Linked DNA regions of Danio rerio. The protein of the gene in region 2 interacts with the protein of the main gene of each other region in a pairwise test. Links are inferred from orthologs where the notes say so. Each region holds a gene or a part of one and is shown on either strand. Other genes may lie near its edges.

Evidence for each region.
Region 1: the proteins of sh3gl1b (region 2) and mta1 interact in binary tests that used the Homo sapiens proteins (3 or more experiments, as listed by UniProt). The two-hybrid records come from large-scale screens. The link is inferred for Danio rerio from reciprocal best matches to the Homo sapiens genes SH3GL1 and MTA1.

What each region holds. Positions count from the first base shown.
Region 1 is NC_133192.1:39,376,658-39,381,018, forward strand, and holds the start of mta1 (metastasis-associated protein MTA1), read left to right. Parts: upstream 1-1,559; 5' UTR 1,560-1,850; coding exon 1,851-1,878; intron 1,879-4,361. UniProt on the Homo sapiens protein: Transcriptional coregulator which can act as both a transcriptional corepressor and coactivator. Acts as a component of the histone deacetylase NuRD complex which participates in the remodeling of chromatin.
Region 2 is NC_133183.1:20,717,314-20,721,143, reverse strand, and holds part of sh3gl1b (SH3-domain GRB2-like 1b), read left to right. Parts: intron 1-1,147; coding exon 1,148-1,306; intron 1,307-3,830. UniProt on the Homo sapiens protein: Implicated in endocytosis. May recruit other proteins to membranes with high curvature.

The DNA.
Region 1 (4,361 bases), on a different chromosome or scaffold from region 2:
GTTCAACATTTTTTTATGTAATCACTCAAGTAATGAAATGAGGACTATTAGCTTTATATGGGATGACTATTCAGCATTTACAAGTTTAGTTAATTTTAAACGACATGACATAAGCAAATGATAATGTTAAAAAAATAGAGAGTTGTATGAAAGCAATTGATGCATGTCCAAAAGCATCATTTGTTGGAAGGAATGAGAAACTGCTACTATGATGTGCACAAATGACTAATTGTTTTGAGAACTGCATTAACTATTGTGCAAATGTAAATAGTGTTGTGAGAAATGCACCAAAGCGACTGAGAAAAACTGTAACATGTCCCTGTAGTAACGCGTATAATCATATCATCAAGACACTACATCCGCAAAGCAACCAGGATTAAAAAATCTGACTCATCATTGCAGAAAGGTGTGAATTAACTTCACAACAAATGCATCAAATAATCATTGGAAAAGTTCTTACTGTAGTATTTCTTACAAACGTTACGTGAGATCTGCTTTCTTCATGTCAGTCACTGTGCTGTTTATCTGACGCAGCCAAGGTGGAGATTAACGCACACTCTAACAGGCATGTGGGAATGGTGGGCGGGGAGAACTAGCATTAAAGGCACAGGCAACAAAAACAGCTACATAGTGTTCAGAGCAGAAAATCCCAATAATCTGAATGGTATAATAAATAATCTGATGGGTGTTTTGAGCTGAAACTTTACAGATAACTGTGGAGATACAAAAGATGTATCTTAAATCTTGAAAAATGGGTATAATAGGTGCCCTTTAAAACTGAAAATAGCCATATCAGAGATGTTGGATGGTGCTCTTTTGACTCTGCCGACAAGCAACCATTCAGCAACACTAAAGAATGCATCAGGGCCAACCCAATTGCCAACACTGCTGGTTCTGGAAGAAATTTCCCCATTAATTTTCTCCCTACAAAATTTAAATAAAAAGTCTTTGTTAAGGGGCACAAAATAGAATTGGGATCAGACCATATACTACAGCCAATTTCGTTTATTCAATTTACCTATACCGCAAGAACTGTGGGGGAAACCGGAGCACCCAGAGGAAACCCAAGCGAACACGGAGAGGCAAACTCCACACAGAAACGCCAACTGACCCAGCCGGGACTCGAATTAGCAACCTTCTTGTTGTGAGGCGACAGTGCTAACCACTGAACCACCTATCACCACAAGTGCATTATAGTTACAAATATATAACAACTTTCTACTCGCACCCTCACAACCAACCACATTACCCTAGCAACCTTACAGCATTACAAAATATCAGCACTTGAATAAATCAAAGATGGACTCTTTGTTCTCTGAAAGCAAGTCCAACATGTCTGATGCTCGCCTCACAGTTTCATTAGACATTATGTAGTTATTTTTTTGCTCCTGCGTTCCATCACTTGTTTATATCTTTGTTTCAAACTCCTGTAAAAGCAACAGTTGTTTATTTCTTTCGTTCCGCCTCTAGCGGGTCCAAAGTAGTACAGCAGTGGTTCAGCCATTGGAAGTAGGCGGGGAAAGGCGAGTGATGCTGCCACACAGAGCCCCTTCCCCTCCCTCTCGCGCGCGCTCCAGCTCCGTGGCCCGACTCTGTGCTCTGCTCCGGAGTGAAGGATCCCGCTTTGTTGAGAAGGTGTTCCAAAACACGCGGGCGAATCCGAACGCGAACACGCACACCGGCCCGTGGAACGCGGCTTCATCAAAATATGTGCACTGTCTCTTTAAGATCCCTTCTCTGGTCCGCTTCGTATTGATCAATCCACCATTTTCCAGCGCACAGCACTGAGCGGCGGCGGCAGAGAGAGAAAGCCCTACCTGGAGACGCCAGGCAGGACCGGGGGCAGAGTCATGGCAGCCAACATGTACCGGGTCGGAGGTAAGAGATCATGGTTGGCTGAAAAAAATGTCGTGCCCCTTTTATGTGTGTCGCTCTCGTTCATGCTTTTTCGCAACAGGGCTTAGCAGTTTTAGGTTTGTCCTTCCTCTTTTATTTTTTAAAGTACTGTGGGACTACAGTGAGAGAGGAGGATGAGGATGGTGAATGCGAGATGAAGAGGGGCACTCTCTCGTTTCGGGACCCCGAGAATGTTTTACGCTACTACAAACTGGCGCAACATTTACTGCCGTTAGCATGATGTAGCGTGTGCAAGTGTCATTGAGTGTTAGTAACAAGCGGGCAACTCTCAAATTTACACCGAAGAAACGCGTTTGAGCTTTTAAAGTTAAAGTTTGAGGAGCACGCCTCACTTTAGGGACTCTGGCTGCTTGGAGAATTTAGTTAAAGTTGGTTGTAGATTTGCACTTTCGGACTTTCTCCTTAAAAATATAAATTCATAACAGTATTTGCAATTTCTAAATAGGCAAAACATTAGCAGCTATTGACTATCAAAGTACAACATTGCTCCCAGTCAATAAATAGTGCTAATATTGTTTGAAGTCATATTTCAGACCAGATATTTAAAGTATCATGGGAAACACTATATGAAGCATCTCACAAGTCCACTGAATATGTAAATATAAAACCTCATGTAAATATAAAAACGTCACCTCAGTAGTTAGAAACACTGTTTTGAAGGTAGATGATGGTTGATGTTCAAACCGTTGACTTTAAAATTAATGTAAAGTTTTTAAAATATTTCTACATTCAGACTTTATCTTTAATAATATGATTTCAGAAAAATATTAATTGCAAATTCTAAATAGTGAAATTATATTAGCAGCCAAAGACTATCAAAGTACAACATTGCTCACAGTCAATTAGATAGTGCTAATGTTGTTTTAAAGTCATGCCTACGTGTGATTTCAGCCGGAATATTCAAAGTACCATGGTAAACAATGTATGGAGATGTCACTGAATGAATGTGCGAATATAAAACCAACTTTACCTCAGTATTTTAAAGTATATTTTATGTAATATGAACAGAGAAAGTTTTGGCATATAGAGGTAAAGCTAATACTTGAAGTCCGTCTCAGTGAGAAGCTGTGGTGTATGAAAAAATACCAAATATAGACTATATAACGCTTGGTGTTAAAGAATAAACTTATTTGGGATGTGTTTTTACAAATTTGTCAAAACACACTGCTTTTTTCCACCCCTAATTTGGGTCACACATAAAAATTGTTCACAATTATGTGTAATTATCTGAAGCTCAGATACACAGTTAAAGGAATAGCCTAGTTAACCCCAAAATGTGCCCACTGTTCCACGGAACACAAAAGGAGATGTTAGGCAGAATGACAGCCTCAGTCACTGTTCGCTTTCATTGCTTCTTCCATACAATGAAAAGCGAATGGTTACCGAGGCTGTCATTGTGCCTAACATCTCCTTTTGTGTTCAGTGGAAGAAAGAAAGTCATACAGGTTTGAAACAACATGTGTGTGACTGAACGACGTCAGTAGTTTTGCGCAGTTTTCGGGTTATCCTGATTGCGCTTGGCTCAGGAACTGATTCTCTGTTGGTATCAATTATCCATTAGGATCTCTGCTGTTGATTTTCAGGCAATGAATGTGTGCTTACAGTGTCCGGTGTGTAATTATTGGTTTAATGAGAGTATTTGGACTAGAAAGTTTGCTGTTGATGTAGGAGAGCTGCTTGAACATGAAGACAATATGAACTTTTATCAGGAGCATTATGAGTGAATTTACATATGTTCTAATGCGTTATAATTCTTAGTGCTCTGCATAGATGTGACTAGTGTTTGTGAATCAAGTATATGGTATTCAGATTAGGGCTGTACGATATTGGAAAAATCTGACATTGCAATATATATTGTGATTTACTTCGTTATACTTGAAAAGAATTAGGGTCCACTTTATTTTAAGGTTCAGTTCTTGTTCTTTGCAAACCCTTTTGACTTTTGCTTTAATAAACTCCTTACTAATAGTTATTAAGGTAGTTTAGGTGTTGGGTAGAATAATATCATTCAGAAGATGTGCTTTGTAAGAACTAATGTGCAGCCAGTATCTCAATACCATGCATGCTAATAAGCAACTACTGGTAGTTAATAGTGAGAATTGGTCCCTAAAGTGTTACCTAATGTATTCATTTTGATTGACTGGGATGATTCTGTAGGCGACTGAATCAGAACATACAATAAACAAACTACAAGCAGAGATAAATGCAACAAAAGAATGATTAAAGTGAAATAAACAGTGCATACATTATGGTTTTGTATATGTAAATGTAAAAATTACACTGCAAAGTCAACTCAACATTGCATATCTTTGAGATGTGACTATTGTGGATGCACACATTGCGATATCGTTCCTAAAATGATGTATTGTGCAGCACTAATTGATATGTTTTTTATTTTTTATTTTTTTTTAAAGCGCTCTTGATATATCTGCTATATTTATGAA
Region 2 (3,830 bases):
CAGAGAGATCACCTCCCGCGTCATTCAAATCATGTGTATAAAAGGATTTTGGCGTGTCTGTAAAATATGATGACGGAAGAAATTGTGGTGGGACCTAAATGCTTTCTCCAGATATTAATTAAAGATGTTTTCTATCACTGCTTGTTTAGCCTGCAATAATCCATTCAGTGTAAAGCTGCACATTTAAACATTAAAAGATTGTGATCTCAGTTCAAACCCCCCCAGCATGAATTATAAATGATGGTGATTTGCATATATTTATTAATCCTTCGAAGTGCTACATTCAAATCTGCATTTGATTGAGAGAGATTCAGTTTTTACACTTTTTCAGTTAGTAACAAACAATTAAATAACACAGAAGTACTGGGATAACAGTTTATAGTTCAGAAATAAACACGGTAAAGGTTAAAATCGTTGTGTAACCAATGGGTGGCGAAAAACAACCATCAAAATGATGTCACTGAATAGTTTTTCAAAAATGTTTATAACCTATAATGAAAGATGAAGTTTTATATGTGAATTGTTGAACAATTAATTGAAAATAAATATGTTTTGTTGTTCAAGATCATTTTCGTACTGAATATTTTCCTTTTTTGCAGCGGGTTCTTTCTTGATATTTAAGTTCTGCGGTTAAACCAATGGTTTTTGCAGTAATATTTTTGTATAAATGGAAAGCAAATGACATTTGTCCAATCTCTTTTTTTCTGATTCGAAAAATGGTCTGATTCGTGACTCAATAACCATAGTGTGATCCGAACCAGGAGATTTGTGATGCGTTACACCACTACTAACGCCCTAAAAAACACATAAAAAAACTTACATATATTGTACGAATGGTATAACAAATTATCTTTGCCATTATAAAAACTGCCTCATGCCTACATTGAAGTGATGAGATGTCATGACTTTACATGATAAACCAATTTGATTACAAATGATAAATAATGACCTTTTTTGGAATATTTATGTTTTGATTGCCTCAATTTTCAATAACACAGAAACATCAATTCATTAAAAATAATTATCCTGATTTGGGCTAGTTGAGTTAAAAGGAAAGTTGTCTATTGCTATTAATAACTATTGCTATTTTTAATGTGGTCTATTCTACACCACTTGCATTGAAATGAAGATTTTCCCTCCTTCTCAGCACCATTTGAAAAAGCTTGAAGGACGCAGGCTGGATTATGACTATAAGAAGAAACGTCAGGGGAAAATTCCAGATGAAGAGCTCAGGCAAGCGCTGGAGAAGTTTCATGAATCTAAGGAGGTGGCTGAGATCAGCATGTACAACCTTCTGGAAACCGATGTAAGGATTTACCGTCTGACAGCTTGGTGCTTAAGTTGGTGTGTTTTTTGTGCTTTTGTGTTCCCTAGGGGTTGTGCTAATCCTATTAGAAGCGCTGATTAATTCAGTGTTTGTCTTTTAACACCTTGCCTTACTGATTTTGTATCTACTCAGCTATAGCTCTCAGTTAAGATATCTGTCAAAGGCTGTCACTTTAGAATGAGCAGTATTAAAAATGAATGTTTTTCTTTTATGTTTGACTAGTCCATCAGCGGGGTCACGACAGGTAATCCAATAAAACTGAAGAGCAGCCAAAAAAATCCTCTTTCTTCTAAGCTGTAGTGTTTATTGAATGTTTAAAGATGATAGAGCGCCATCTGTTGGAGAGCAATTTCATTCAAAGTCAACCCTGCCATAAAAATATATATAGTTTTCACCAAAAAAGTGAACCCCTTAATGGTTTTTCGTGTAGGCTTGTATTTTACAGCAGGGGTTCCCAAAATTTTCAGCCCGTGACCCATAAATAATAATTTCAGTAACTTGACCCCCACTAACCTCGGAGGTAGTGATAAACATACAAGCATTGCACACAATGTTGCACACACATACACACCAATAGGCTTATATAAACACTAGCATATTGACAACATAAAAAGTGCAACAATCTAACAATCATATTATTTTTTTGTTATTTATTCATTTGTTTAATTTAATGTTAACCTCATATAATGAGACTGGTGGGCACAATGTTTACTACACAACACTATTCTTGGTTTAATTATGGAGACACTTGAAGATTATGTTCTATTTTAAGTGGTGTAGATTTTATAATCTTTTTTTTTTTTAAACGTTTAATTTAAATGTACATTAGTGCCATAAGGGTGTCAAAGTTTAACATGGTGCTGTAAAATCAGTCTGCTGCAACTGACGCTATTAATATTAAATATTACAATAATGTTATCATCCCAGGGGTCGCAAAAATTGAAAGTATGTAACTAGTAAGTACTCTTTTTATCCTCTGTAGGTTATGGATAATCTATGGCAAATTTAATAGTACAATCAAGTTTGTTTAACTTTTTTAAATCACCAAGTGACCCACATTGTCCTACGACTTCCTAGGGGGTCCCGACCCCACTTTGGGAACCACTGTTTTACAGTACTGTAAAAATACTCAAAAATGTCTCTGTAAATTTGTCAAACAATTATGTTTGATTGACTAAAGTCACACAAGTGGCAATTTCACATCTGTCACATTCAAAACGGAGAGGTGTTGCATCCATAATGAAGCTATTTCCCTATAAATGCAAAAACATAACGTCAGTCATTTTTGTTTCATAGTAAGTAATCTCTTTTCCATTTGATTAGCATCATTTCTTTAGGGTTGTGCAGTTAAATTCACCGAATTTTAAAAAGTGTTTTGTATACTGTACATTTGCATACTTTTTGGTTACATCCATAACAGATGCTTCTTTTCCTTATTTAAAATCTAAAAAATGTTTACAGATTGATATTTTTCTGACCCCATAACTCTCTTGTGAGTTGTTTTGGAAAATATAAACAGTTGTTTCATTATAATATTAATATATACTTTCTGTGTGAATTTATGTTTTGACATTTTATTTCAAATTTCACATACATAGTCCATAATTGCTCTGGTGCAAAATGGCAAAAACTTAATGACAGAATAAACATTGTAAATTGAAGTTTATGGAGGTGCTATTTTGAACTCCAGTGATACATTTAAAGTAAAACACTGAAAATGATGGATGGTTTGGTTTTAAACCATAGAAAATATTTTTGTATTAAAAGCTAGTAGTGTAGATTTAGTAGTCTATAGTATATATGCAGAGTTAGTGTTTCTTCCCATACTGATAAACTTCTGGTGAACGGTTAATGTGACTTTTTATTTTAATTTTTTACTGTTCATTTCACAGCATTGATGTTGTAATATAATCAGTTAAATAGACTAAAGCATTTATTTAGTTGTTCAAGCGTAAACAAGATGAAAAGCCATTTACACGCACACGCCATTTAAAAAATGAAAAAATGAAATGAAATCTTTTTTTTAATTTTTCTTTTCAATTTTTCACCATGAAAAAGAAAAACACCTCGTATTTCAATTTTCGTCTTTAAATTTTAAAACGAAAATTAAAAAACGGTTAATTTTTCATTTTTCAATATCGGTTTCTAAAATGAAAATCCAATGTCCAAAAGATACACTGACCCACGGTGCAAAAACATTTATTTAATGCAGTGCCTCTTGTACATTCTGAGACCTACTTTATAACATATATCAATCAGGTAAAGATTGTATATTTAAAAAAAAAAACAGACCTTAAATGCGCCAATTTTGTAATAGTGTACAGTTCGCTGGAAGCACTTGACCCAGGTTACTGACAAATTAAAAGACCTTCCGCATACTTCTGCATAGACCCTATTGACTCAAGGCTTCACAAATTACTCATTAACTAAGTTATTTGTTTAAAACGGTTGTTTTCCAGTGTTATTTTTCACGTTACGTTTATTACATTTCCACGTTTCATGT